Drosophila melanogaster: one gene and its partners. The protein of the gene in region 3 interacts with the protein of the main gene of each other region in a pairwise test. Each region holds a gene or a part of one and is shown on either strand. Other genes may lie near its edges.

What was found.
Region 1: the proteins of CG10559 (region 3) and gb interact in a two-hybrid assay, tested with the Drosophila melanogaster proteins (one large-scale study listed by BioGRID).
Region 2: the proteins of CG10559 (region 3) and CG1690 interact in a two-hybrid assay, tested with the Drosophila melanogaster proteins (one large-scale study listed by BioGRID).
Region 4: the proteins of CG10559 (region 3) and CG13427 interact in a two-hybrid assay, tested with the Drosophila melanogaster proteins (one large-scale study listed by BioGRID).

Annotation. Positions count from the first base shown.
Region 1 is NT_033777.3:27,106,757-27,116,451, forward strand, and holds gb (genderblind), read right to left. Parts: upstream 5,515-9,695; 5' UTR 4,964-5,514; coding exon 4,515-4,963; intron 4,278-4,514; exon of another isoform or gene 3,892-4,277; coding exon 3,378-3,891; exon of another isoform or gene 3,127-3,377; coding exon 2,926-3,126; exon of another isoform or gene 2,845-2,925; coding exon 2,695-2,844; exon of another isoform or gene 2,573-2,694; intron 2,549-2,572; coding exon 2,371-2,548; intron 2,303-2,370; coding exon 2,241-2,302; 3' UTR 1,711-2,240; downstream 1-1,710. Other genes in the region: CG5815 (uncharacterized protein), read left to right, coding at 5,872-5,934, 6,075-7,455, 7,518-7,730, 7,788-7,876; CG6066 (uncharacterized protein), read right to left, coding at 8,475-9,695.
Region 2 is NT_033778.4:9,754,677-9,762,411, forward strand, and holds CG1690 (uncharacterized protein), read right to left. Parts: upstream 3,393-7,735; 5' UTR 3,194-3,392; coding exon 3,139-3,193; intron 3,071-3,138; coding exon 2,727-3,070; 3' UTR 1,617-2,726; downstream 1-1,616. Other genes in the region: trpl (transient receptor potential-like), read left to right, coding at 1,054-1,083, 1,362-1,507, 5,101-5,338, 6,736-6,878, 6,940-7,312, 7,366-7,600.
Region 3 is NT_033777.3:25,312,658-25,319,996, forward strand, and holds CG10559 (uncharacterized protein), read right to left. Parts: upstream 3,460-7,339; 5' UTR 3,448-3,459; coding exon 3,258-3,447; intron 3,202-3,257; coding exon 2,711-3,201; intron 2,644-2,710; coding exon 2,271-2,643; intron 2,206-2,270; coding exon 2,012-2,205; 3' UTR 1,837-2,011; downstream 1-1,836. Other genes in the region: CG10553 (uncharacterized protein), read right to left, coding at 3,964-4,148, 4,208-4,574, 4,636-5,120, 5,210-5,417; CG10560 (uncharacterized protein), read right to left, coding at 5,970-6,154, 6,218-6,584, 6,648-7,132, 7,192-7,339.
Region 4 is NT_033778.4:20,535,936-20,541,913, forward strand, and holds CG13427 (uncharacterized protein), read right to left. Parts: upstream 3,382-5,978; 5' UTR 3,331-3,381; coding exon 3,013-3,330; 3' UTR 2,942-3,012; downstream 1-2,941. Other genes in the region: CG13423 (uncharacterized protein), read left to right, coding at 754-1,296, 1,358-2,245; CG13428 (uncharacterized protein), read right to left, coding at 3,667-3,741, 3,810-3,878, 4,030-4,104, 4,286-4,315, 4,371-4,466.

The DNA of each region.
Region 1 (9,695 bases), 1.8 Mb from region 3:
AAGAGCGGAGTCCTCAAAAAAATCCAACCGATCGATTGCGAGCGATGTGGATGGTGGGATATTCATTGAGCGATTTTCGCACGTTTTGCAAGTTTCGGCTTTACGAATTGGAGCGTTTTCGGTTTATTATGCCCAGATCTGAGTTGTTTTTTCATGCGTTACAGAATGTCGATATTACACTTGTATGGGCAGTTCGTGATCCACATGTAGGAATGACGGAGTTTATAAATTGCATATATATTTTGTATAGAGGGCAGTCTGATATCTATTTATAAATTTATGGTGTCCATTGAGTAGTCACACGAAGTCGGATATTTGCAATTGAATTGTTCAGATATCATAGGCCAGACACTTTGAATGCCAAGGTTTAGAGTGGGATTTTAGTTGTCAGAGTCCCGTCATAAAAAAACTGGTTGAAAGTGGTGATGGAAAAGTTGTTACTTCTTAATTGTGAAACGATGCGTATAAATTATTTTAAAATTAAATTATGTTAAGTAACATAAAAAAAACCCTACGATGATAATTTTAAGAGAGAGGGATATTCTTTAACTACCAATTGTATGTAAACTATAGTTCCTAAGAATTTCTATTTGAATAATACAATTTCAATTGTTTCGCAAATGATTCAGTTACCGGTTCTATTCGGTCTGTTCGGCTTATTGATTTTCTAGCTGCTAATTTAAGTGTTTGGACACGATTGTGAAGAAGACCCCAAATCATGGCCCAAAAGGTGTCAATATTTGTTGGGGTATAATCGCATGATTATCACATGAGCAGCTTAGCTTGGCTCAAAAGGAACTCCCCAGCATTTGAGACATTTCCATTTAATCTAACATGCAATTGCTTATGCAAACGCCAAGCAGAATAAATCAATATTTACTAGATTACGCCTCTATATCGATCACTTAGCCAACTATCAGCATCGATCAACAAATGTGGAATAGTTCGTTCGTCAAGACCGAAAGGTGGCTTCTTTTGAGGCGGCACTCACGTGCCGGCAATTAGCAACCTTTTAGCAAACTATTGTCTATCTTGTGAGATAGCAATCATCTAACTGCTAATATTAGTAATAAAGCACTTACAACCACGATTCGGGGAGCCTCCCAACGCACTTGAGATGCTCCTCGAGTCGCAATAACTCAATTATTTGGCCATAATGAAAAACATCAAATCCGATTGAGGCAATTTTACGAGCGATCTGGTAACTAGACATACTCACTCCTCGCATATAAATACTTAAAAAGACATTAAACGAGACGCCGAATACGGTGCATACAAATCAGCCCACTACTCTCGCCCAGATTTCGCATAGACGGGCGCACCTGCAAACCGTGCTGAGAATCCCAGATAAGCGCACCAGTTTTATCAATTAAAAACACCTAGACGGTAGAATGGATCCGCACGGAATACTCTATCAGTGATCGAATATAGAGTTGGCGTCATTCCACAAGCCTCCGAGTGTCCAAAATGTCAATGGGGGCGACAGGAGGCGATTTATTTTTGGCCAAAAATCGCGACTTGTCGTCCGTCGAGAATGGCTTAAAATAGACCCATTACTTATCAGCCCTAATTGATTAGCGAAGGCATGGGCTTACATCCCACGCAATGCTCAATCAATTCAACCTTATCAATTGTTTTGCTTTATCATTCGCTAAAATCTTGTGGCATACTTTCGCGAGGGGCGCCTAAAAGATTGAATTCAAAGCGGTTCGTCGATGAAACGTACAAAAATCTTTATTACAAACTGCAATGCAATGCACTTAGGTAGTAAAATGAGGGACAAAAACAATAACCGAATTTTTAAACAATAAGCAACAGAAGATTATATGAAACTGCTTTATATGGCAAATATCGACCTGAATATCGCACCTTTGGCAAACAGTTTTGGCTTACTTTGGTTTAGATTTCGAATTTAATGAGTGCAAAATAAATGCTAAACTAGAACTCAATACTAAACTACTATTCGAAGAATTTGCACTTTAGGTAAAAGTTTTTGTCATGGTTTATAAATATAAATATAGAAATATGATAGTATTGACTTCGTTCTCCAGTCCTTGTGATGTACAGGTCATGTTTTCCGCTTTTTTAGGTATTTTCGTTTTTTGGTATTCAGGTTTAACGAGCCAAGCTTTCTCGTTCTCAAGCTTTCACATCAATATAGAGATTTAATAGGTAGTTATTTGGAGGGCCAAATAGCTAGATCGTTTTGAAAAATGATTCCATTTCATTTCGATGGCAGTTTAGTCCTCCTTCTCCTCTTTGGCGGACATGAAGAGCTTCTGGCAAGTGAAGGTCACCGAGTCTACAAAGGAAAACCATATAAATGTCGGACAATGCCACACATTGGGGTTAATGTGAAGGGCTACTCACCAATCGTGCTCTGCACCCATTTCGGCTTATTCTTCCACACGACGCCCACGTAGTAGAAAGGTATGCCAATTATGGTGATTAATACCCCCATTCCGACCTCATAGGGCGCCACATAGATGGGCACGACAACTAAGAATGCGCACACGATGACGAATAGGGCGGGAATCCACATGGCGACCTGTGCCAGGAACAAATATAGTTAGAATAGTCTTGCTAAACTGTTAGGCTCAAAGACATAATCAAAGTATTTAAATTTTTGTCAGTACAAAGATTTCGTTGGCTGTAGAACGTCTACATTGGCAATACTGATTACGCTAAACTCACTTTAATTGGCCGCTCCATGCAGGGACGGGTGTAGCGGAAATATAGAACCGCCGACACCGACAACATTATAAAGAACGATTCCACAATGCTGGCGTAGGTGATCAGCACATACACATCGCTCACCACCAGCATCACAATGGAGAGAAAGCACTGCCGAGAGGGACACAGTCAAATCAATTAGGGATTAATTACATAATATCATTTGTGCGCTAATTGAGGAGCGCAGCTCACCAGAAAAACGAGCGACGGCAGTGGGGTGTAGCTCTTTACGCTGATGTGCGACAGAATCGCCGGCATGTGTCCATTGCGGGCACCCACGAAGCAGATGCGGGAGGAGGTCATGATGTGGACGGAAAGGCCGCCAAAAGCAGATATGGCCACCATGAGGGGTATGATCAGTGAAAACACGCCGAGAATCTTATCGCCAAAGGTCTGTGAAGAGAAGTGATCAATTAAAATCATTTGAAAATCCACTGGTTTAATTGACTTTTGCGATTCCGATCAAATAAATTAAAATTCCCAGCAGTCTATCGCAATTTTGCGAATTTAAGCTACAAATAGACAAAGTCGGACATTATAGGGCTTGCATTATGCTTGATAACTAACAGATTTTAAGCTTTTAAGTAAATTAGTAATTTGACTGCCTAATCTGATCGGACTGCAAATCGTGGATAAACTCTTACCACAGCGATGGCATTGGATGCGATCATCTCCGAGGGCGACAGCACGGCCAGATAAGCCACATTGGCCAGCACATAAATGCCGGTGACCAGAGGTAGGGAGATGTAAATGGCGCGCGGCAGGTTGCGATATGGATCGCGGAGCTCCTCCGTCATGAAGTTCAAGTAATTCCATCCGGCATAGGAAAAGATACCGGAGTAAAAGGCTACCGACATCTTGCCGGGATCAGTCTCAGTGTTATCAAAGGGTCTCGTGAAGTTCTCCACGTTGCCCATCATCATCCAGACCAGGCCTACCAGGATGATCAAGACCAGGGCGGCGATCTTGGTGAACATGATGACGTTTTGCATCTTGGTGGTCACCTTCATGTAGTACGAATTCAGGTAGGTTAGGAAGCAGATGGTGATGGCTGCCAGGAGCTGTAACGCTATTTTGGGAATCTCACAGGCTCCGCCGAAGAAGGGTTCCAGCACGTAGGAGGCAAAGGTCAGGCCCATAATGGCATTGGTCGTTGGTCTGTCAGAGATAAGAGCACACAATCAGTGGAAATTTTTTTGCAGACTGCATTCAGACATATGTCCTGCTGATAATGTCCGCATGCAAAAGTAGAAAAGCAGATATTTTCGCTTATCGCCGATCCTAAACAACAAATATAGCAGGCAATAAAACGCTCAATGCAGAACTCGCGGAACTGTTCAATAAATAAACTTATATAGCGCAGATTAAATGATAAGGCTCGTTTCACTTTCTAATGCTCTAATACACAACCCATGGCTTAACCTTGAAAAACCGGATGCATCCACACCAATCCGAAGTATTCCATTCTTCTAGTCTTATCTGAGAAGTTATTAAACTTGACCCAGTCTAAAAATCAGATTCTGTAGGACTACTTCACTTCATTCAATCTACATACATATGTTATTTCGTTAAAAAAAACGTAAAAACGCAAAAAAGAAAAAAAAATGTCAGCTATTACTTTTACTCTAATGGGTTCCTTCTGGCGATAATAAAGTAATTCGAAATCAATTACCGAAAGGAATTTGATACTGTATTTATGTTTTTCGAACCAACTGTGATAAGGGAACTTTAACGGCGAAATATTCGCGAATATTAAAACAATATTGACCAGTAAGACTCACACGAATATCATCATGGCATCCCAGAGATACAGGAAAGCCGGCAGTGATCCGTAGGCCTCGAAGATATACGCGTAATCCCCCCCAGATTTTGGTATGGCAGTACCAAGTTCCGCGTAGCAAAGAGCACCAATCATGGACAGCAGTCCGCAGAGAACCCAGATGACCAGCGAAGCGCCCACGGACTCCACCTCCCGGATGACGCCTTTCGGAGAAACAAAGATACCGGATCCGAAGATGATGCCCAGGATGATGGCCACTCCTTCGAGGAGGCCCAGCTGCTTCTTGATCACAACCCTGCTGCTGTCTGACTCGGCGGATCCCTCGCGACACTGAGCTTTCTCGGCAGGATTAGCCGCTGGTTGGGCAATGCTGGAGGGAGGATTGCCGGAGCTGGGGGTCAGCAGGACCATTTCGCTGGACGGCGACTGCAGTTCATCGGCGGCGGGCATGGCGGCTATATATGTACGTATTATGTCCTAGGGCTATGGTATTATTATCCCGCTGCTCTGTGACACAATCTTCGCACGCGACGTCTGAAAGCGAACTGTAACTGTTTCTTTGGCCGTTGTCCCGTTAATTGATTAAACGAGGCAAGTGTGTTCGTGGGTGTGACTCCGTGTACATATGTGCGTGTGTGTATATTTCTTAATGTGTTTTTCAATTGTATTGTATTTGGCTTATCTACTCCTGCTCTTCCTCTTCTTCCTTTTCCGCCGGCTAGCGTTAGTTTGTTTTGGTCGGCTCTTCGCTAGCTGCCGTCTCGCTCGCACCAGCAACACACCCTGCAGTTGAGTCTATCGCACATAAAACTCGCGATTTAAAAGAACAATTCACACTCTGTCTCGCGGAATTCGGTTAATGGGTCTGGTAAATAAGGGCAGACATCGAGGTGTAACCGCCAAATTGTGCAAACTCTGCGGTTTAATTGTGGAATTGGCACAACGTTGCTCAAAGGTTTTTCAACCCCACGTTTTCTCGAGCATCGCAGCAGTGTGACCAGCGCCCGGCTGACTGTAGAATATCAATTGATGCTGGGGTGTTTTTCTTGCGAGCTACAGGGTGCAATTTTTTATTCAAAAATAATATATATACAATATGGCCCCGCCGACTTTCCCGCTGTCGGTCCCGTACATAAGGGTAAAATGAAATTGAAAACTGAATTTTATACATTCCATATATTGAAATATTAACGAGAATTAATATACAATTACTGCGTGAGCGTACGTGCTCTCACGTGCTCTCCTCTGATTTCTTATCGAAACGAAAAGTAGACCACGTCTATCGCCTATCGCCAATCGATATCAGTATCCAAATAGATGAGCTAAAAGCAAATCGACAGAGAAATACAGATCACAAAATGGATTTTGGGGACCTGCTGCGCTACGCGAAAAAAAATAGTGATGCGGTCACCAAGGAGGTGGTGGGTATCATGCAGATGTCCAGTTCGTCCATCGCGTGAGATTTTATGCTTGGAAAACGCGGTTGCGCCTGCATTCCCTTTGTGACCCAAAATAATTTATATTCGATCTGATCATTGTAATTTTTCTCCTCTATCGCCAGGGGCAGGGGAAATACTACAGCACCAAGTATTCGCCCCCCAAGAAGCAGTCCAAGGAGTCCAAGCAGCTGTCCAGCAACATCCAGAAGTTTCTCCAAAAGAAGGAGGCCGAGGAGGCGGAAAAGAAACGGCTGGAGCGCCAGAAACTCAACGATCTGCTCGCCAAAAGAGACGAAAAGTCCAAGAACAAGATACGTAAAATGCTAAAGGTAACCAAATCGGCCAACAAATCAGTGCTGGAGGATGCCAAAGACTACGAGGGGGCCATCGACGGCCACGAGGCGGGCGAGGGTCAGGGCGATGACTACGGCTACGTGTCCACTGAAGCGAATGCCTTTTACGATAAGTACATTGAAAAGGTACGCGATGTACAGGAAGACAAGGGATTCACGCCCAGCAGGCCACAGTCGCTAAAAGATCTCTCTGGGACCAAGGAGCGCGTGAAGGCGGCCATTACCAGGGAACGAGAGGAGGCCAAGGGTAACACACGTCAGAAAAGCAGCACAAGCACACTCCCATCCAGCGCTACCAAGTCGAAGGAGTCCTCCGTGGCCCGTTCTTACAGTACCTCCAAGACTCTTTATGATCCGAACGCAGAGAAGCTCGAGGAGGAGCGCAAAAAGCGGCAGGAGGAGGAGCAGCGCCGGGCGAAGATAAAACGACCTGCTCAGCCGCCGCCCATGGACTTCCAAGCCTTGCTTCGCTTAGCTGAAAAGAAACAGCACGAGCCCGTGGTTTTTGAGGTGGAGAAAAAAAAGGAACCAGAGCGTTTGTTGTCGGCCCGTGAGAAACGCGAGTTGGAAGAGCGCCAGCGGCAACAGGAGCAGCGCGCCCAGCGTCTCAAGATGCGCGAAAGTGAAGGCAAGGAGACTCCGAAATCCATCCCCAATCGCATGGAGCCTAACGGACGCATCCCCAAGCTTAATCAAGCCAAGCCAGCCAATGCACCAAGTGATAGTTTTAAAAAACCAACTGCCCCACAGCCAACGAAAAGCAGCGCGAGCTCCACCAGTTTATCCAGTTCCAATTCCCATTCCTCCGCCAGTCGCAGTTCTGTCTCGAGCTCAAGGCCCGCTACTAAATCAGCTCAATTGACTGCCAGACCTGGCGCAACTGCATCGGCGGTTGGAAAACCGAGCTCCAGCTCTAGCAGGGATGTCCCATCCAAGAACCCCTATGCAGCTACTTCCCTAAAGGGAACTGTAAGGGAGTTTCCACCTAGGGATCAGTCAAGCATCTCAACCTTGGATCGCCGAAAAATTCCGGCAGCTGCAAAGACGCGACAGACTCCTTCATCGGATGTTCAGAGATCACAGGGCGGGCGGCAATTCCCGCCCGCAGATGTCAAGAGACGAAAACCTAACGAGCCGCCAGTCACCAAAAGTAAATACCAAGTTTGATATTAAAAATGATTTTAGATTTCATATTTTGTTCTATTTTTAAAGGACGCATTTACGACGACGATGATGAGGATGAATACGATTCTGAGCTGGATGACTTCATAGATGATGGCGACTGTGAGGAGGATATATCTTCTCACATCCGCGACATTTTCGGGTATGATAAGCGTCGTTATCAAGGAATAGACGACGACGATCGTGGCATGGAATCCAGTTTTGCACAAGTGCAGCGCGAGGAGTTCATCAGCAAGAAGCTGGGTTCGTAGCAAACCGCATGACCAATAAAAACCCATAATAATGATTATATATTCGCAGGAATGCAAGAGGATCTCGAGGACATGCGCATGGAGGCGGCGCACAAGAAACAAAAGAAGCTCGTGGCGAAAATCAGCTCACGCTCCTAGGACGGTATTTCATCTCGACGTGGGCTAATCCGTCGCCATGTAAAGTGTACACCTGATTTATCTCTTGGGCTTAGCAACGAAAATTTAAGCCCACTCATTAGTTTTTGTTGTATTACGATGCAATAAGATGAAATGCAGAGTAGATTGACGGAAAGGAGAACAGGAAAACCAGAGAAGTGCACAGGAAGAAGCGAATTCTGATGAAGATTGGTTTGCTGAAAATAGCTTATTTTTATATCATATTTTAGTCGAATATCCATGGTTAATGCCACAATGATTATAGCGGGCTCATATTTGGTATATGTACAAGTACATATGTAAACAATATATAATTTTGTGTGCGGACGACTACATCGTGTAGCTGCCATAGGAACATTTGGAAAATTATTATAAATAATGGAAAATGAAAACTTTCTTGCGTTTATTAAAGTTATTAAGTTACTCTAAGAAGCTCTTTAACTTACAATTGTCGTTTATTTTTTTTATACAAATACAAAAATTAAAACAATCATGAAGTTTCGACATTCGTTGAATTGAAATCCTGATGTGCGTTTGCCATTTATGGTAAATCCATTTTGAAGACAATATCCTTTAGGATTTACTTCTTGTCCTTGGCCTGCAGCTTTGAGTGGATCATGTCCTTAAACTGCGACAGAATCTTGTTTTCGCGCTTCTGTCGCTCCTCCTTGCTGAACATGGCCAGTGCTCGCTTCTCGTCGGCGGAGTACAGCTGGTTCTCCTTGCGGATACGGACGGCCTCCATGCGACGATGCCTGCTGCCGCTCATCACATAGCCCACGGACTCGAAATTGGCGATTTCATCGGATGTTAGGCCGATTTCACCACGGCGAGGAATTCTCTTGCCCTCGGCAATGTAGGCAGCCATGGCGGCACCTTCTCCTGGCAGCAAGGCCTTGCCGAAGTCCTTTTGATTAAGACTACCGCCGGGTCGCAGCGAAGGTCCAACGTCCTCGTCGTTGTGCGAGGCACTTTCCTTGTTCTTCGACTTGCTGGCACTGGAGGAGGAGCTCTTCTTGGACTTTTCCGCCTCTGACTTACGCTTCTTCTTCTTCTTTTTAGACTTTTTGTCCTTTTTGCTAGTGGAGGACTTCTTCTTTTTAGGCTTCTTGATACCGTCGGCTGTCTTTTCCAGCCAAACATCTTCCTCCTCGGACTCATCTTCGCTGTCAGAACTGGAACTGGAACTTGAGCTGCTGGACTCGTCGCTACTGTCTTCGCTGCTTGAAGAACTGGAGGAGGAACTCGACTCTTGTTTGCTCTTTTTCTTTTTGGATTTCTTTGACTTTTTCTTCGACTTCTTTTCAGATTTCTTGTGCTTTCTCTTGCCCTTTTTCTTTTTCTTCTTGGGTCCTATGTAAGAACCCTTCACCAGCTCCACATCGTCGGTTTCTGGCCGGGAAGGGCTCTTGCCCCAGACCTCTGGCACGCCTTCCTCGCCGATGAGAACTCTCTGGTTTCTGCGGGCATTCACAGCCTTGGAGTCACCTTTGAATTGGTGGTTAGACGATCCTCTACCTCTGTGCTGCGACCTGAACGATGGTTCGGCGGGATCATTAATGAAACTACCCTCGGGAGCCCTTCCCCGGAAGGGATTCTGCCGCCTATCGTTGTTTTCATGATAACGATCGTTGGGCCAGCGTTCCACGGATTTTGGGCGGGATTTGCGGCTTCTGGACGGGCTTCTCGAGGAACTGGATCTATCACTGCTGCTGCTGCTGGAGCTTCTGGAGGGCGAGGAGCGCGTTCTACGGCGGCGAGGCACTGCATCCTTTTCTCTGGAGCGACGTGAGCTGCGATT
Region 2 (7,735 bases), on a different chromosome or scaffold from region 3:
TATGGAACAACCGCCATGATGATGGTTCCGAGTTTTTGCCTGCCGCGCATACAAAGCACTTGCATTTTTTATGACCAGCCCAAACACTTTTAAATGCATCTGCAGCATCCGCATCCATATCCGCATGCAGATCCGCATCCGCAGGAGCATAAAGCCAGTTTAAAGCAAAAGCATGTAGACGGAATGCATTTTTTCTTTGCGGATTATCGAAAAAAGCTCCTTAAATATTCATTTTGGCATTGTGTTCACACATGCGGAGGAAGGCAGCGGAAAATAAAAATATTTTCATCGGGTGTGGGAAAATATTGGGAAACAAAGAAATTAATTCTAATGGGAGAAACGATTGGCGATGATGTGAACAATCCAATGAGAGCAGCAACAACTAATACAAACTGCAGTTCGTTGCTAATGAGATGAGTGCAATAAAAATGTAAATCAAAACAGAAAGCCGATTGAACAATTGGTCATAAGTGGTGCAATAAGTGCTCGCGAATTTGGTGTTCAGTGTGGCCTTTGGAATTGACCAGTAACAGTCGGGAAACAGTGAAACTGCACAGTGTCTAATCAACTCACTAAATTGGCAAAACTTAAATCTTGCCCATGCAGATGGCACTTAAAAAGGGTTTAGCCAGCTCGGTCAGTGGCGGAAATAAAAAGAAAAACATTATAAACAGCTTAAATAGAAACTTTTTGCACGCCGGAAACCAGAAACCATAAACCAAGTCAAAAACCACCAGACACACACACACACACACCAACACACACAAGCACACCCAGTTGGACATATAACTATGGACTATACAACTATGAGTACAAAAGCAAAATCAACTTGAAAGTTGCATGTGGCCCGGCTTAGTATTGGACTTTTTTGGCTTTGCCATTGTGTATATAAATATATATGCCATATATGTAAATATCGTTCACTTTTCACTGCAAGTGTGCAAAGCCCTGCGACATGAAGTCGGATTTTGAACTCTGAACCCTGGACTTGGTACATGGAATACTAGTTACGAACTGCTGGCGTTCGGTTAAGTGAAGTGCACTAACTCTAGAATGGGTCGCAAAAAGAAGCTGCCGACGGGCGTAAGTAGAAACCCATCCAGGATCCCGATCCAGATCCGTATCCAGCAAGTAGCATGTCTTAAAGCCGCCAGTATTAGCTAAACGCCGCTTACCTTAAACGCCTCCAATGCCATTTAGATGGAAGCCAGACAATCAGCCCAGCATCCTCCACTTTGCACTTAATTTTCTTGTATGTTTATTTTTTATTTATTTGCAATTCCGCATACACGATTTCCCCCTCGCCACATCGGCATGTACGTATGTGGCTCCTGCTCACCTGTCTCTTTAAATTATGCCAGGTATCGTCTGGCGTCAGCCACGCCTCCTCCGCCCCCAAATCGGTGGGCGGGTGCTGTGTGCCGCTGGGATTACCACAGCCTCTGCTGCTCGAGGAGAAGAAGTTCCTGCTGGCTGTCGAGCGCGGCGATATGCCGAATGTGCGCAGGTGAGTAGCGCTTTTCACGCCTCCGATGCCCAGCAGGGAGGGGGGGGGGGTGGGTGGTGTTTCTGTATGGCATCTTGGGCGGGAGGGATACACTGCAAGAAACTCTTACCACAATCAGGTGTTGGATGAGCATTAGTATTCAAAGTTAATGTACAAGCTTAGCTAATGAATGTATCAATCGAGTAGAACCTAATGTATATTGATATATTTAGCCTTCAATTTAAAAGAAATAGTTAAACACACTACCACATTTATCCGAGTGTAGGGTGTTCGAATAAAAACCCTGACATTTTTAGAGGGGTATCACGAGCTCCAATGGTGGCTTCGCCCAGGGTAACACAGGTGTTGACTGGGCTGGGTCGCACAGGTACCATAAATCCCATCGGGAGCCTCCTTGGGTTCTTTGGATGCGGTGCTGGTGGTGGGTTCAATTATTTGCACACTCGTCTGCCGCGGGCCTCAAAATGGTTACCTAACTGGCATCCCGGCAGCCACTTAATAAGCAATATGAGGCCTTCGACCCGGATACTTTACGCTCGTTTACGGCTTTGCTTTAACAAATGTACGATTAATTCCGTTTGCTGGCAATGAATAAGAGATAAGCCAAATTATCCAAATACTTTTCGGTTGCCACTTAAAGCTGTTAACATGCACAATCAATTCGAGAAACGAATCTTATTGAAAAGCAACTTTTCGGATAACTTAAGTTCCCTTACCTGAAAGCACAACTAAACCTTACTTTTTGTTGACATCCCAGGATGTCATTTATGAACAATTCTTTATTGTTTTCATCGGGCGAGTGATACGGTAACAACAAGCAAATGAGCCGTGTCCGGGGTTCCTGTTTCATTTGTGATTCCCAATACGCTTTGGAGGCATGCACGATGTCCATATAATCTTGCATCTAATGTGAAATTGTGGAAGTAGTGGCGAAGTTAGTGCTAGTCTTGGATCTTGAGTCTACATGGAAATACGGCAACAACAAGCAAATGGGCAGTGTCCTGGGTTCCTGTTCTTCGTGTGATGCTCCTTGCGATTTTTAGGCATGCAAGATAAACCTATAAGCTGACATCTTATGTGGGTAGGGTGGCGAAGCTAGACCTAGTTATGGATCTTAAATCAACTTGAATATTGAGGTGCTGACGGTGCGATGTGGGTAAAAGTGAAAGTGTGACGGCTATGACGTCTATGACGGCTATTTGGGACGTTTTGGGAACATTTAAAAGTTGATAAAACGGTATGGGTTGAAGCTTTTCATCTCGTCCAGGGTGTAGCGGTAGCGGATGCCCTTCGAAGGCTCCTCCTCGGAGCCGTTCGAGTCGTCCTCCTCCTCGCGGATCTCAGAGACCCGCTCCACCCGGATGCCCTTCATCTGGCAGGCGCGGCGGTACAGCTGCTCCTCCCGGTCCATGTAAAACTGGCACGATACGCTGTGATTCGGAACGGGCGGCGGTGGGATCATGGGACTAGCCCCAAATGGAATCCCTGCTGGCCCATACGTAGCCGGGGCAAACCAGTTGTTGACCAGACCGCCTCCGGGCACCAGCTTCACAGTCTGGGTCTCTACAAGATTTAACGAACATACTTTTCCTACACGAATCTTCCGAGAACACACTTGGCTATTGGCTCACCCTTGTTCTTTTGCGCCATTTTGATCACCAAGCTTTGACCCTCGGCGGCATCCATTGGGTATTGAGTTTTTTAATCGTTGGAGCGTACAAATAATTTAATCGCCTAATATTGGGTGTAGTGTGCAATCACTGTAATCGCGTCTTGGAAGCGGATTTAGTTTCTTTGAATTTAGTACAACAATTTATGTTGACGAACGTTCGTAAAATCAAAGATTTTTGGCCTTAAACACTGGCAGGTGAAAACTAGTTTTGACACATCAACGCCAGGATAACTAGATTTCGATTAATTGCCAGGCAATGTACACTGCAGTGTTGGAAAATTTGATATATTTCGTGGAGCTCCTCCAAGTCCAAAATTTTTAACAGCAATCACTTCTCGATTGAAGTTATTATTAATAAGATAAATACAAATTTCACAACATAAAAAAAAAAATCTTCTGCCTTTGAAAGTGTACATTTTTCAAGCTTAGACTCCATTAAACAATCATTGGACTACATAACCGGTGCAAACACAATTAAAATCGCAGGACCAAACAAATACGAACCAAAAAAGTGATGGTGCTCAGAAGAAGAAAAATTACTCCGACTTCGAAACGCAGCGAGGCAGAAATTTGATTGTACCAAAAGGTATGAAGATGCACGTAAGACCTTAGCAGCTGAAAAGACTCTTCAAAATTTCATAAGAAACAAAAAAATATCAATTTTCCAGACCTTTGTAGAAGAAATTTCCAAAAGCCTTTAAATCTAAGACAGCATCAAAAATTAAAAAAAAAAAATACAAACAGATTAAACGAACTTGCAACGCATGGGCTCCAGAAGAAGATGAATTCCTAAAAATGTTGAAAAACACTCAATCCACTAAAGCAATATCACCCGACCCAATAACTGTATTGTTTCTACATACTCGAAATCCATTTGAATGAATGGACTTTCTAATCTATCTAGCAAACAGAAAGCCAGACTCGCGCAATGACAATATAAAACAATATAAAAGCGGATCTATTTAATCTGCTTAACAGAATATGGTTATCAGCTCAAACCAGAGATCAAAGCTGTCCCGATACCCAAAAAAAGCATACCCTTCAGTGGTTTCAAGCTTTTTACCTATGTATATGTCTCATAAGCGTTCTGTTTAAGATAACAGAAAGGCTAATAAAAATTGGATTGGACCACCACATTTCATGTAATCTCGTGGACCTGGCCGCTAAAAATGCATCGACCAAAGGAATTTTCACCGTAGTAAGTTGAAGCATTAAAGATGCCACGACTGAAATTCACTTAAAAAGACAGGGAAAAGAAATAAACAGAATTTTCTGCAAACAAACAGCGGCGATACTGCACACTTTTCTCAGGCACATTAAAAAAACTATGGTTTAAAAATCCCAAATGTCTAATGTCAATAAGTCTACAGAAATCAAAATAATTACAAGACTTCTTAGCAAAAACGCATTTGACAATTATACTTTAAATAAAATGACCAACTTAACGTTGATAACGTATCCCACATCTTATTCAGCTGTTTCAAATACAACAATTTCAGCCCTGGAAAAACCAAAAATATAAACGCTTACTAAGACATCAAATTAAAATAAACCTATAAATCTTTACAATCTTAAGTCCTTGGCAATTTCCACGTACACGAGGGTGGCCAAATAATTTCACGACATTTAAGAATGACGCGGTAACGTAAAACACAAAAAAAAAAAAATAAATAAATAAAAATTTGATATTAGTCCCTTTTTCGGCGCCCAATTGATTGGGAAAGTTTGTTTGAAGGCTGCGGCCGCGATGTAATTAGAAACTTGGACTCCAACTTTTGACTTGACATCGGGAATTCTTGGGGCATCGGAAATCTGTGCACAGGAGAAGAAAAGAAAAGTTATTGTGGACCCTTCGGTGGGCGCCTAGCCCCAATTAGCAGCAATGCCACCCTCTTTATTAAGTAAATTCAAATAATTGCAGGATCCTGCAGAAGGCGCTGCGCCATCAGCACATCAACATCAACTGCATGGACCCATTGGGCCGTCGGGCCCTCACCCTAGCGATAGACAACGAGAACCTGGAGATGGTAGAGCTGCTCGTCGTCATGGGGGTGGAGACCAAGGACGCCCTACTGCACGCCATCAATGCGGAGTTTGTCGAGGCTGTGGAGCTCCTGCTCGAGCACGAGGAGCTTATCTACAAGGAGGGCGAGCCCTACGTAAGTCATTACACAGACACCTGGAGAAATCGAATGCTACTATACCATTTAATTAAAGCAGTACAAAAGAACAAAGAACGAAGCAAGAGTTTTAGTAGCTAAAGATACTTTTATTAAGATCATTCTACAATAATTTGGCAGTGGTGTTATTTGTTTATAGCCGTTGCTGTTTTTTCTTCAAACAAATATTTTATTTTGAGCAACAGTTCAGATATAGGGTAAAAATTAGATAACAGTTTACCATTTACTTAAAGATATTATATTTATAATTTGATAGTTTTAATTCACTGAGATACACATTATTCACAATGGGGGTTTAGGTCCTTTATCTACGTTTGGAACTTTTTTTCGCAGTGTATCCTTTGTTTTGTCTGCTGTGCTCAGCTAATTTGTAGCCCACATTATCGTCCGTAGGCGTTGAGGCCCTGTAAGTTGAAGCTAACACGATTTTAATCAGTTTCCGTGCGAGGAGCGTGGGGCGTTTGGATGGATGGTATGCTTGGAGTGGCCGGAGTGGCCCACCCATCGGGATCATCTTCGCCATTGGGCACGTACTCGCAGGATCTCGACTCTCGAGTGATTGGGAGTGTGCGATAAGCGGCCAACGACCAAGAACCCCCACATCCAACCACATCCATCCACATTCGCCCACATTCGCCCACATCCGTCCACATCCCCTCAAAATCCAGTACATTGAGGACCTCTCCGGCATACGGAGAACAGAGGACAGGATACGGTTTACGCTTATTGCAAATAAAGTCGTCTGGGCTCCGTCGGCCTCATATTTATGCACACAGGCACGCTTCATTAGGCAGCCATTGGGCGCTGTTGGAGCGTGAAAATTACTATTGTATCGCATATGCAATAAAACGTTTAACAGGCTTAATAACATCCACAAAACGATGAAGACGGCCCTCTTCGAGTGGGCCATTGAGCAGTTCCTGGAATAAGTTTAGGATATTTTGGAGGAACAGCCACCGAGATTGACAAAATGTAGTTCAGTCATGTGAGGCAGTAGACAAGTGTATTAAGTGGAATTCCGATTTCTACAATAACTTTATGTGCTTTACAATAAATGTAAATTTTTTTTTTAAAAATGTAACGTGTAGAAAGGTCTAAAATCGATTTTCGTGCTGATTAAAGTAATTCCCGATTATTTCACTAATTGTATGCTTACTTATTAATTAAATGTTACGTGTAACGAACAAGTAATATCAAGTTGCTTACTGAATAAAATCTTTCATGATTATTTGACTTCATTGAAAGTAATATTTTTTATAAAATGTTGCGTGCAACGCACATCTGATATCAAGTTGCTTACTGGATATTGTAGGCAATACTTTTTTAGCATTGAATTATTATATATATTGAAGTGAATATATTTTTTCTTTCCACAGAGTTGGCAAAAAGTAGACATAAACACGGCTATGTTTGCGCCGGATATCACGCCTCTGATGCTGGCCGCCCACAAGAACAACTTTGAGATACTTCGCATTCTGTTGGATCGCGGAGCAGCGGTGCCAGTGCCACATGATATACGGTGAGCTGGTACATCTAACATGGGTCCCATATCCCATTATTAATCACATTATTAAATATAGTTGCGGTTGTGAGGAGTGCGTCCGCCTGACCGCGGAGGACTCTCTGAGGCACTCCCTCTCCCGGGTGAACATCTACCGGGCTCTGTGCAGTCCATCGCTGATCTGCCTAACCTCCAACGACCCCATCATCACGGCCTTCCAGTTGTCCTGGGAACTGAGGAACCTGGCCCTCACCGAGCAGGAGTGCAAGTCAGAGTACATGGACCTGCGAAGGCAGTGCCAGAAGTTCGCCGTGGATCTGCTGGATCAGACGCGCACCTCCAACGAGCTGGCCATCATCCTGAACTACGATCCGCAGATGTCGAGCTATGAGCCCGGCGACCGGATGAGCCTGACCCGCCTGGTGCAGGCAATTTCCTACAAGCAAAAAAAGGTATGTTTCTCCGACGTGGTTCTGCTGCTAAAATTCTCCATTTCCTGCGATAGTTCGTTGCGCACTCGAATATTCAGCAATTACTGTCCTCGATTTGGTATGACGGCCTCCCCGGATTCCGGCGCAAGAGCATTGTGGACAAAGTCATCTGCATCGCCCAGGTGGCCGTGCTCTTCCCGCTCTACTGCCTCATCTACATGTGCGCCCCGAATTGCCGGACGGGCCAGTTGATGCGCAAGCCCTTTATGAAATTCCTGATCCATGCCTCCTCCTATTTGTTCTTCCTGTGTGAGTATGTCGAGTGCGGTCGGTGCACAAAGCAAACATGAGCATGAGCTCCATTGGAGGAGAAGCCCACAATGGACAGGTACCCTCAGTGGGATTGAAGCATTCAGTATCAAACTTTTTCTATTTTAATAACTA
Region 3 (7,339 bases):
AATCTGCCATAAAATTAATTTAAAATAGCATTAGTGTCGTGCTGATAACAACGAATAAAATTCTTTAACTTCACTGTTAGCATGGCTAACAGGTCGTATACGAAATGATTGTTCGACAACATCAAGCATAGGTGGCGCCACTCTTCCGTTTTTGCCAAAGGCGCGGAATATTTGAATAATAAAATCCGTTCTGCTTTTGGCCCAGCCCATTCAATAAGGAACGTCTCAAGATTTGTGTATTTTTAGAGAATTATATCAAATGTGCCGACAAATTGAGTATCTTGAAATTGAGTCTAATGCGTCGGCGGAAAATTATCATAACGGACACTAATTGGTACAGTAAAATAAAAAAATGAAATAACCTTAAGTGCAATAACTTTTGAATGATTTCCCATGAAGTTATCTCTGCAAAAGTCATTATTACCCCAATATGTGGCACTTCTTTTATTCCACACTTGGAAAAGTCAGTAAGCATATGACTCAAGCTAATACTTAGAAGTGCTAATGCCACTCTCAAGTGTTTTCTTCGATACTTGAGAAGAGTTGCTGCACTACCTGATATTTTTATATTTTTTTTAAGTGTATAAGACTAGAAAACTTGTAATACTAATAATTCCGTGGGAAATGCATCATTGTGAAGATAAAACTTTATCGAAGTACATAGTTGGAGAAACGTGATTTGACGATTTGTGGTCATTCCATTACGGGTAATTACCGAACTTTGGTGGGGCTTTTATTGATTAGGCAATTATCAGAATTATCGCAAATTAATGAGCAAAAATCGTAAATCAGGTCACATGCCACCGAATGAAACACTTGTTATAAGTTTGGAGTACATTACGAAACACAATTCGGGGAATCCTACCTAATCGAACTGAAATGATAGTTTTGATTTTTGAACAATTTTCAATGCACTTTCTTAGCTTATAAGCTAATTTCACTCTTAGTCGCTCTTTCCACCACAAGAAAAGTTTGAATACTAGATGTTAGTCCCATCTGAACTATGTTTTTATAGCACTATTGGGGGTTGGTCAAAACTGGCGGGTCGGATCCCTAGATTCGGTGAATGGCCCAATGCGAAAACACATACAGCGGTGGCAAACCTTTTTCCTTAATTGGTAAACGGAGCGCACTGATAGATCGACTGCAATCCGGCCAACTGTCGAGTGGGAAATACGAGTGGTTGTGCTCGGGAACAGCGGTATTGCCCCGATTTGGGTATGGGCCAAGAAATTCCTTATCGCATGCATTCGATTGAAGTTTTTTTTTTTGTAATTCAGTTCGCCAAAACCGGCAAAAGAGTGGCAATTGGCGTTGGCGAGAGTGGGTGCGCGATAGCGTGCCCGAGCGAGAGGTGTGTGATATATGATATAGAGACGCAAACACCGTCAATTGTTTGATTGATAACGAAAACAGTTTCTTGTTCCCGCTCCTGATTCGACTTCCATATCGGGATCGGGCACCCGAGTTCCTCTTTGCGCTCGCCATTCGCTCTAATTATTTCGTGATTCCTCATTAATTGGTGTTTTTGGGCGTGACATGTGATGGGTAGATAGACAGTTCACCATCGGTTTCCGCACGAGCACCACGCACTCAATAAACAATTATTTGAATATTATTAATCCTACAAAATGCTGGTCTATATGGGTACCAAACGGCATTTTGATTATCTTTGATTGTGCTTTAATGGGGCAGTTATGTTTTGTTTTATTATTAGGCCTGGCTAGTACAAAGCGGCTAGAAGTTAAATATATTTTCACATACTCATCATTTAAAAACAAAAGTGTGCTTATGAGATTATGTTTACCATCCGTCTAATGAGAAACTTCTATACTTCACTGAATAATCATTGCTCAGTTACAAGCATATTTTATTCTTAAAATTCGTGCATTAGTATTTTATTGAAAGCAGTACATTTTATATGTCATGGTATTACAAATTTTCTTTCCCAGAGAACGTTAGGAATCACTTTAGCAATAGTATTCTTTATATATATATAATGTATAGCGAACTAGCACTGGAAGGCCCCTCGATTGTTCAACCATTTGAGAATGGCGCTAACGTGCTTCTTATATCGGGCATTGGAGTACATAGCCAACTTTAGACCATCGCCATTATCCGTCTCGGTGACGAAATCGGTCAGATTTGCATCTTCAGTCCGATCGAGCAGCACTGGTGGGCAGAGAATAAAAGCAATGTGATACCCTACGATTGGAAAAGAAATCAGAACTTGGTTATCTACAGCTTTGCAGAGCGAGGTTTCCACTTACCAACTCGTCCATATTTCAATAGCTGAGTATGGAGGAACCCCAACGTGGGGGTTTTTGCTTCGGGGTAGTTCAGCATTCTCAAGTGCTCGACCAGGTGATCGTGGTAGTACTTGATGAAGTAATCGAACTGACTCAATTGGATTTCGAATTTCGTCGAGCCCAGGAGGAAATAGATCAGATCATATGCCACGCTCGTGACCTTGGGCAGTTGGAGATCCACGAAATATGTCTCGATCGGTTCGGGCGACTCGTCCTCGTACTTAAACATGATGTTGCTGGTCCAGCAATCTCCATGATTCAGAGCATTGAAGTCCTGCGGATCGGGCGTGTTCATAGCATACATAAGGTCGACGATTTTAGGTTGCATCTTGTGCTGTACAAATAGATTATTTTGTGATGAACCGTGCAACCAATTGGTGCATATAGCTAAAGAAACATACAACCGCCGCACTGTACTCCTCGTAACCCTCGTAGAGTGGCAGGCACTTGAGGAAATACTTGCCCAAGGTTTCAGCCACCTGTTCGATGCTCTCCTTCATGGTATCGGCGTACGTGGGTTGCAAGTAGTTCTGGGGGTACGGACCCTTGAGATGGATCCTGGTGGCCGATACCGCATGCCACTGGGCCATCTTCTTTAGAACACACTTGGTGTGAACCATGTCTAGGCCCTCCAGGCGATCGACGTTCCTGAAACCCAAAGGACCCAGATCCTGCAGAAGTACGTAATCATCGGGCGCGTCGATTTCATAAGCCTTGGCCCCAAACTTGACCTCCACGCCCACATCCTTGTACATCTGTTCCAGCTCGGGAATCACCTGAATGAACACATCCCTCTCCACAGCAAACATGTTGTTCTTCCTCAGAATCTCGCGATACATCTCGAAATCATAGGGAGTCTTCAGCATATAGCTCACATTTTCGATTGTGTGATCTGATGATGGAAATTTCTGCTTGACTTTCCATTGTTCACCTGTGACTCACACTCACCCTGCAGTTCGACTTCAAGCTTGAGGCGCAGCATAATTGTGGAGTAGTTTTCTCCCGGCTTGAGCCCGGCTTCCGGCTTGAAACTTTTGATTCCGGCATAATTGCCGCCGTAACGTTTACTTAGCAATTCTTCGAATAGATTTGCTCTCAGCCAGGTGGGCATAGGCGCTGTTCCTGTCTCAGCCGTCATTCTAAGCAAACTAAGAGTTTATTTGCCGGCTGGTCCCGTACAAACATGTGAGCAAAACTTTTTTTCTCTGTATCTTTGTTTGCTACCAAAACAAATGCCAATACGAAAGCTCCAAAAGCTTGTCGGAAAACAAAGAGAGTGCTGGATATGGAGAGTTCTCAAAACAACTTGTTTTCAAAGTCTCGAGTGATACATACATATAGACCAAAACAAACGTGGGGGGATGCATTTATACCCATATAGAAGCTTGTCTGTCATATAAGTGTAAGTATTTAAAGACAATAAAAATAATTGTATGACCATAAAAAAAAATGCTTATAACTATACTTATAGTTATATTTACCTATATGTAAACTCCGGAACAAGTTTTTTATTAACCACAATGTTTGTTAAACACTAGTTAGGTCTTTATTAGATATTACACAATATGCTACTTCTACTATACTGTATATATAAACCTTGAGTGTAATTTTTTCGTTATACGCCATACGATTTAATATTGTGCATTCTAAGTATCTATTCCATAGCTCCGCGATGCTGAAGCCATGGCAATAGAACCTCCATATGTTTGCGAAATCTGGGATTAATGTATAGCGAGTTCTTAAAGCTACAGTCGTCATCACCAAGAACCTTATCAAAATCGGCTCCGTCCACGGGATCCAGGAGGACATATGCCAATATAGTTGCGGTGCAGATGAACGCTGAAATGTTTTTTTTTATAAGATCTGAACTAATGATTAAGTAACGATTGAAAACTTACACCATCCACTGTATTTGTTGAGAGCGTCGTTAATTCTTCTTAAAGTGGGAAGAGTTTTCGAATATCCAAGCAATTTCAGATGCTTTACCAATTCGGAGTGGTAAAACCATATGAAGTAATCAAACTTTGATGTTTTTATGTCCAAGCTTGTAGAGGACAAAAGAAAGTAGTATAGATCCTGGGTCACTGATCCCCACTTAGGGACTTGCAGATCGACAAAGTAGGTATCCTGTATCTCGCCTTTCGTATTGTACTGGGACATAATGTTGTTGGCCCAACCATCGCCATGGTTTAACGCAATAAATTCATCAGGACTCGGATTGTTGAGGCTCTCCACAATTTCGAATGTCTTGCCGGAGACAATGCGCTGTAATTAATGATAAGATAGAAGACTTGAAGATACGAATATCAAAAGATAAATTACCCACCAGATCATTTAGATAAGTTTCGTAACCCTTGCACAGATGGACGTTATCCAGAAAAACTTTTATGCTCCGATTAATAAAGGCATCTACGATTTCCTCGTTCCTTAAAAAACCCTTTGTGTACTTCTCCTGATAAGGACCCTTTGTTTCTACGCGAACGGCAGAGGCCGCATGCCATTGGGCAAATTTCTTGAGAACACATTCGGTGTGAGCCTGGTCCATGCCTTCGAGGCGATCTATGTTCCCGAATCCACGTGGCCGAAGATCCTCCAGCAGGACGTAGTAGTCGCTGGCCTCTATGTCGTAGAGTTCAGCTCCAAATTTGACCTCCAATCCCACATCGCGATACAGTTGCTCCAGCTCGGGCACTACTTCCACATACATTCCTCGCTCCACATCGAAGATATCTGTCTTCTCGATTACTTTACGATACTGCTCTGACTGATGGGGAGTTTTAAGCATAAATGCCTTGGTTGTTTGAGTGTTATCTGCAAGGTTTACAATAATTGAAAGATAATTTCAGTTCAAATACGCTGATACCCTAATTCATTAGTCCTATAGAATGAATTTAACGAACCTTCTTTCTCAACATCCAGTTCAATTCTAAGCATTACGGTGGCATAGTTTTCGCCAGCAGCGACTCCTGCATTTGCCCTCATGGATTTCGTTGCTTTGTAATCCTTGACAATCCTTTTAAGCAGCTCCTCAAAGACTGTTGGCTTAACCCAATCCGGAATGGTGACCTGTTTTTGGCTAACATCCTCATCCTTTGTCTGGGGATGCATCTTGTAATAAGCTGTTTCAGTTCAGCGCACTTACTGCAAGCTTAGAGCACTCAGCGAATGTCTTAAATACTCTAGGGAGAAATAAATCTACATGTGAGCGATAAGCATTACCTCTTACCTAACAATCAGTCAACTGTTTTATATTAATTTAGTTTGTGAGAAGTGACTGTGCTCGAAAGGTGCGTCCGGAAATTTTAAAACAATCCCTCACCCCACAGAGTAGATTATCATAGTGACATCGCAGTTTCTGCGATATTGGCTCAATATAATATATCTTAATCCAAAGTAACTCTAAAGTGTTTAGATGATGTATTTGGGAAGATAACAGGCGCATTTCCAGCATACAATTTTCTATTATTCTATTTGGAAAACAAACGTATGGACAGGAAAAAATCTTTCGCCTTTCCATTCTGAAAATTAGGGTGGCCCTTTTCTCATATCACCTTATAATTACAATCCGATATTCAACATCAATATTTTGTATCGTTTAATTTATTTCTAAGTAAAAATGATATCTGCAAATAGACTAATTTTAAGAGATCATTTGATATTTTACTCCAAGGCACCACGATGCTGCAGCCAAGGTAAGACAACTTTCATATGCCTGCGGTATCTGGGATTGGTGTAGATGGAATTCGTAAAGTTTGAATGCTCGTTCGAAATGATCTTATCGAAATCAGCATCATCTGTGGGGTCCAGCAGAACGACTCCCATGACGGATATAGAGCAAATGAAGGCTACAATAAGATAATACGTATAAGAAGATATTATAATGGTCTTAACTATTATAACTAACTTACCCCATCCACTGTACTTGTTAAGAGCATTGCGAATGCTTCTTAAAGTTGGCAGTTTCTTAGAGTAGTTCAGAAGTTTGAGGTGTTTCACCAACTCTGAGTGGTAGAACCAGACGAAATAGTCGAATTTCTCCGTTTTAATGTCCAGGCTGGTCGATGAAAGCAAGAAATAATACAAATCCTGCGCAACTGATCCCCACTTCGGCAGTTGAAGATCCACAAAGTAGGTATTTGATATCTCGTTTTTGTCGTTGTACTGGAACATAATGTTGTTAGACCAACCATCGCCATGGTTGAGGGCATTGAACTCGTCGGATTTTGGTTCCTTAATATCATTATATATATCGAATAACTTTTCTGAAACACTTTGCTGTAGTCAGAGAAATGTTTGGATTAGAAATGCACCTATATATACAAACACAAGTTAACTTACCAAATCCTTTATGTAAGCTGCATGTCCATCGTACTGATCGATATTATTTAGCAAAATTTTAGCGCTGCGATCGCAGAAAAAGTTCATGATTTCTTTCGATTTGAAAAAACCATTGGTATACTTTTCTTCGTAAGGGCCCTTGAGGTCCACGCGAACTGCAGAAGCCGCATGCCATTGGGCGAACTTTCTCAGGACACTTTCGGTGTGAGCTTGGTCCAAGCCCTGCAGGCGGTCTACATTCTTGAATCCTCGAGGCCTGAGATCCTCCAGTAGAACATAGTTCTCGCTCACCTTTATTTCGTAGGCCTCAGCCCCAAACTTTACCTCCAAGCCCACATCCCGGTACATTTGCTCCAGCTCGGGAACCACTACCAAATACATTCCGCGCTCCACATCGAAGATATTCGTTTCTTGAAGAAGCTTGCGATATGCGTCAGTGTCGTGGGGAGTTTTTAGCATGAATGCTTTGGTTACTTCCGATTTGTCTAAAATATAGATCCTTTGGCTTAATTTTTTGATTCTTTTTAAGCAAAATTTAATGTACCCTTCGTTTCCACATCTAGTTCCAGTCTCAGCATTATGGTGGCATAGTTTTCGCCAGCAGCGACTCCTGCTTTGGCCCTTAGGGCCTTGGTCTTCTTATAATCCTTGACATTATCCTTGAGCAGGTCCTCAAAGACTTCTGGTTTCAC
Region 4 (5,978 bases), on a different chromosome or scaffold from region 3:
TTTCTGCTTATTTTGTATTTCTAAATCGAGATTTGAAATTAAATTTCCATCGATGTTAAATCTTAAATTTCTATATCAGGTTGACAGTTATATATTTAATAAACTGCTACAAATTTGTTAAGTGAGAATGCTATAGTCGACTTGGGCAAATCGATAGAAATTTACAAGACAAATAAAAATATATAAAAAGTTTTAGTTTTGGGCGGCTTGTCGGCGTAAGAGGGATCGTTCAGAATGTGTAAGGTTGATCTAGAGCTTGATTTGCAACCCATAGTCAGTACAAACCAAGTATCTTATCTGTGTCCTTGTTGTCCATTTCGAAGATTGATTCGCTGCCATTTCCCATTTTCAAATTCAATGTCAATTCTGTTAATATGAGCGGAATGAACGCAGTGGATGGATATGTGGGGTGAACTTTTTATCTTAATGACTTTATTTATAGGCTGAAACTTAAAAGCGAAAACAATGGTATTCAAGTTATGTGAAGCAAAAATATCGAACTGCGCGCGAGCAGCTAGAGATGTGTTTTTTTTTTATCGATCCGGTATTTGATTGATAAATAATCGATTGTAAGTGGACACGTGCCCAAACACGTTGCGTTTGACAACTGCTTTTCTATCCAATTAATTGCGATAAATAGACGAAACGAATTCGGACCGAAAGATAGGTCTAAATTTATAGTGTCTATTCCTGCGCTTTCTAATGTCAACCACTTGAGATATTCGGAATAAGATCACTCGTCAAGATACGAAAATGAGCTTTTTGTTGACCGAACCGCAGTGGTCCGCCTGGTACTCCGCCTTTTACGCGTCTTCGATGAATCGTCTGGCCCAGAATGTGTGCACCGCTCAAGATCCCATCACTGTATGCCTGCGATCCGAGGCGGACTTATGCTCCGTTCCGTCAGGTGTGAAAACCTGGATAGAGTTGAGCAGGCAGGGCAAGGCCACTACCGGTGGTCCGGGATGGATATGCACGGGCCTGGACCTGCTGTGCCAGGAGATGGACAGAAAGTTGCCGCTTCCACTGGACTTTGAACTCTCCGCCGCACATTTGTTTTTCTGGCACAAGTTGGAGCGATGCAACTACTTCCTGTGGACGGTCGCCGATCTTCTAATGCGTTGCGAACCGCTGGATGGGCGCTGCTTTCGGAATTTAATTAAGAACCCAGTGCCAGATGGAGGCAACTGGCAAATGTTCGTTAATCTGGTCAAAAAATACGGAGTTATGCCCAAGAAATGCTACCTCCACTCCACTCAGCGAACTACAAAAATGAACCTCATACTGAAGAGTAAGGTTGGTATTTTGTATTGTACTGAATATTATATACATATGTATATATTTCCTTCACCTAAAGCTACGTGAATATGCCAGCATGCTGCATGCTCAGTTCACCTTTAATGGGAATGGCTGCCGTCTCCCCGATCTCATTCAAGAAATGATTCCGCATCTCTTCAAAGTAATATGCATCTGCCTTGGTGAACCTCCCAAGGTTTTCACCTGGTCCTTCTACGACCACAAAAAGCGTTACCAGTGCCTGAATGATATGACAGCGGTCCATTTCTACGAAGTTATGGTAGGCTGTACGGTGAATCTAGACGCCTTTGTCTGTCTGGGTCACGATCCGCGAATCTCATCCAGCTACCATAGCAACTATCAGGTTGCCAACAGCTCGAATATGATGGGCGGAAAACCTCATAGGTATAATAACCAATCAATGGACATCATAATGCAGATCATGGTGACTTCTCTGGAAGGTGATAAACCCGTTTGGATGGCCTGCGATATTCGTAGAGCAATCAGTTTGAAGTCCGGTCCATTAAGCCTGAGATCGCATCAATTTGATTTGCTATTTGGCTTTAAAGTGGGCGAGTCGCTCACCAAAGCAGAGAGACTTGACTACAGAGCATCCCGACGGGATGCAGCCCTGCTCCTTACATCCGTTGGATTGGACACCTTGAAACAGCCCGTACAGTTTCGCTTCATAAATGCTTCTACAATTGGCGAGTCTCCCGCCACCGGAGGTCTTAATGAACACGATGTGGACGAAAAGGTTACGAAGGCATTAAGAAAGAAGTCGGTCAAACCACCGGATAACAAATTGGACGCCGAATGGTTAAGGGAGTACGCTTTTGAGATTGTAGTCCACGAAAAATTTGTCCCATCGGGTGTTTTACATGCCGCAAGGATACATAAATGGAAAGAACTGCCTGCTTGGGATCCCATGGGCGCATTACTTAATTAAAAAATTGTTTAGAACCAAAAAAAAAATCTTTCATAAGAAATACATTTACTACATTTTATTTGCCTTCTTGAATAGATAAAAACTAAATCCATTCATTCAATTCAAGAAGAAAGTTCAACAACAATGACAAATTTCAAGTATTTTTCCGAACTGTGGGCGTGGCAACGTGAAATAAACTTGCGCTGCTTAATTTCAACTTTCTAGCTTTTATAGTACCTAAGATCTATCGATCGTGATCATGAATACTTGATATGGTCGAAAACGCTTTCTTCTTCCCTTTTACCCTTTTACTCTACGTGTAACTACGAGTATAAAAACAGTCAGCACGATTGAGTTTTGTTGTTTGTTGAAAATAGTTTTAGTAAGTAGTGAACAATTGACTACACTCTCGTTTAAAGTGTCCCATTTTTGAGTTTCCTGCGAACTCTTGTGCCAGCCGCCAATCGCTTGCATAAAATTATTTAAATATCCCGCAACGTTGTGTCCTTTGTGGCAGTTGTTGTCATCGTCACCGAGGCGCGACCTTCACTAAGTTTTTCGGGAATCGCTCCTACGTGCCCGGCATGACTAATTAGGCATTAGGGAGTTCTCGACAAGAGTTGTTGGCGCGGCCAGCAAAACGGCGACTGTTTTCAACTTAAGGGATTTGCTACTCTAAGGAATTTGCCATCGCACAAAATAAAGAACAACAAAATTAATCTTTGACTTAAAGGCCAGGCGTCTTTATTTTATTAAATTCGGTTACAAATAGCTGCTTAAAATACGGTCTACCAGTAGCGTCGGCCCTGGTTGTAGTACGGATAGGGCTGTGCGTATCCGGGGTACTGTCTTGGAGCCACCTGCTCCACAATCACTGGCTGCACCACCACGGTCTTGGGCTGGAACAATTTGCTCAGGAGATGGCGTGGACCGCGTATGCTGTTAGAGACTTGGTCTGCCGACGTCGGGGGATCTGCTGCTGCGGCCAGTGGAGCAACATGCTGCATATCAGCTGGCACAAGAACATTTTTATCGTCGTTATCAGGAAATGCCAAAACCATCGCAATGGTGAGGCTGCTCAGCAGAAGAATGGCCACGAACTTCATCTCGAAAGGTGTGTGTGCGTGTTGTATGATCTGTTGGCAAATGTAAACTGATTTCCGAAGAGCACAGACTCACCTTAAATAGGAGCAATAGATGGTGCAGGTAGAACAGGTTTTCTTCTCTACCTGTCACAGGATTATGGCCCATTATCCCGAGAGCAGCTGCACAAGGTGATTAGCCCGTTGAATTTCCCAGAAAATTACCCTCTATGGTTTATGGTTAATGGCTTAAGGAAATTCGGGTGTGGTCATTTTTGGAATGCTTCAAACTACTTTTATTAGCTTCGATGTGGTTCCCAAATACATGCACAAACGCCCAACTTTATGCTTTACATTACTTTAGAGAAGGAACTGGGGTGGTGGTGGAAGGCCGTCCGGCGGTGGTGGCATTCCAGGTGGAGCCTGACGACGTTGCTGAGGATGGAGGAATAGTAATGGGTTAAGGATCACTCCACTTATTTTGAACAGCGGACTGTGCTTACTCTGAACTGCGGCGGTGGTGGAGGATCATCATTGGCCACGAGCTTGTCCTCCAATGTATCACGACGGGACTGGAAATATTTCGCAAATTATGTATTAATATATATATCAATATTAATTTGCCAATTAAAAATAAAGTAACAGAAAGGCCCTTCGATATACGGCCGCAACACAATTGCTTATATAAATGTTCTAGTTTTCTACATTTTACTAAGTTCTTACTCGGAATTTCGGAGGTGGAGGCGGTTCGTTGCCGTGAAGAAGGGCGGTTTTCATTGCGGGGACATGGCGCCTTGCCTAGAAGTAGGCATTTAACATAATTTTGCATTAGGAGTGCTAAATTGTGAATGCGCCGCCAGTGCACTGCCTCCTGGGCATCTAGTTGCTTCATCTGTTCTGGCGCCTTTAGTTTCGTTTGTAGGGCCAATAGTCTTAGCAATCACTGGCCTTCAGTTTGACCCATTCTTTGTGTACTCACCCGCCTGAACAAACCGACGAACTTTGGTTCCTGCAAGGAGAGACGATTAAGCCCGTTGATAGGTCACTAAACCACCGAATCCTACCTCCACTCCATTTGTGGTGCCCCCACCACGTCCATCGACTCCGAAGAGGGTCAGAGCCACAACGTAAATAACCAAAACAACGCAGAGTAGCTTCATTTCCGAGCTGTCACGTTCTTACGGCTCACTAAAATGGTTGAAAATGACCCGTACAATTCGTTTGGCTTTTGCTGTACGTTTGCTCCAAGTTCGACTTCTTTATATACCCCATAAATCCACTGGGTGCAGCATTTAATTGCCTTGTTAAAAACGCTATCCAGAATCTTGTAAAGTTGTGGCCGATACATGGCAGGCGATAGACAAAAACACGTTAATAGCGTATTAAATAATTATTGGCCAAGATGCATCTTGTAGATACATCGCGAAACAGACAAAGTTGCCGCTTGAGTTGAAAACTTCAAATGATAGCATGATCAAATAATTCTATTCGACTGAGAGAAGTCAGAGAGCAAATATAAAATATATTGCAAAATAAAATGTAATAATATAACTTATTAATTTTAAATTCAAAATTGAGCAATGGTTTTAAGTGTCTTCAATTGAAGTATCTTTCAATTAATTGAAATCAATGTTTTTGTGGTGGATTTGTCATCTGAAACTGTTGCATGTTTTTCACAGTGCAGCCTTTAAATTCCAAGTAGTCAAGGTGTTACAGCGAATTCGGTTTACAGCTGCAATCTCCGTGTTCCGGTATTGTTGCCGTTACAACGTTATGCAACAATCTGCTGCCGCTTCCGCTTGGCCACGCCCCCATATTTTCGCCCACGCGAAGGCGACAAATGATGCCGCGTCTCGCGCTATTTTTCATTATTTCCGCTTGTAAACGCCACAATGCGTCCACGTTTGCTAAGCTTTGCATAATTCGGAATTATAACGCGCTTTGATGTCGCCGCTGGGATCTCGCTGTCCTTGTCCCACTCCGCCTCCCTCTCGCTCGCTCCTTCGTCAAGTCAAACAGAAGTGCAGGCGAAAACGCAAAAAACTGTCAACAGGGGGTGGTGGGGAAGCGAGGGGGTTGGGTCGAAAAGAAAGTATAAAAATAAATAAGCGCACTTTTTTCTCATTTCCGTTGCTTACTTTGACGTGTTTAGTTTTTGATGTGAACACTCGCACATCCTTCGAAGGAAGAAAAAGGAGTGCACTCATAGAAAACAGGAATGGAAGTTATGACACTTTTACTGGTCGCTTAATACCCGATTTTAAGAGGTAACCATAAATATTTGAAAAATCCTATACATTTCGAATGATATAATAGTTTAAATTATTTTCCGGTCTATAGTTGGAATTTTTTTCTAATTTCAAAATTTAGTAAAATATTTTTTGAGTGTGAGACGGAGACAGAAACAGCAGCGACAAGGCGACTGATTAAATACACCATGAACAAGGATGTCGTTCCATCTCTGTTTCTCCTGCAGCACTTCTGTTTGCTCTCTCCCTCTCGCACGCCCGCCATCTCACTCCCTCGAAATATTTCTGTCTCTGTCGCCGGCGCTTCCTCTCTTTGTCTGTGAGGAAACTTTTCTCATTAGAAAACTTTTACTATTTCCGCTACTCAACGCCAAACGCAAACAACAAACGACAAAAATACGAAAAACATAAAAAATGCCACGT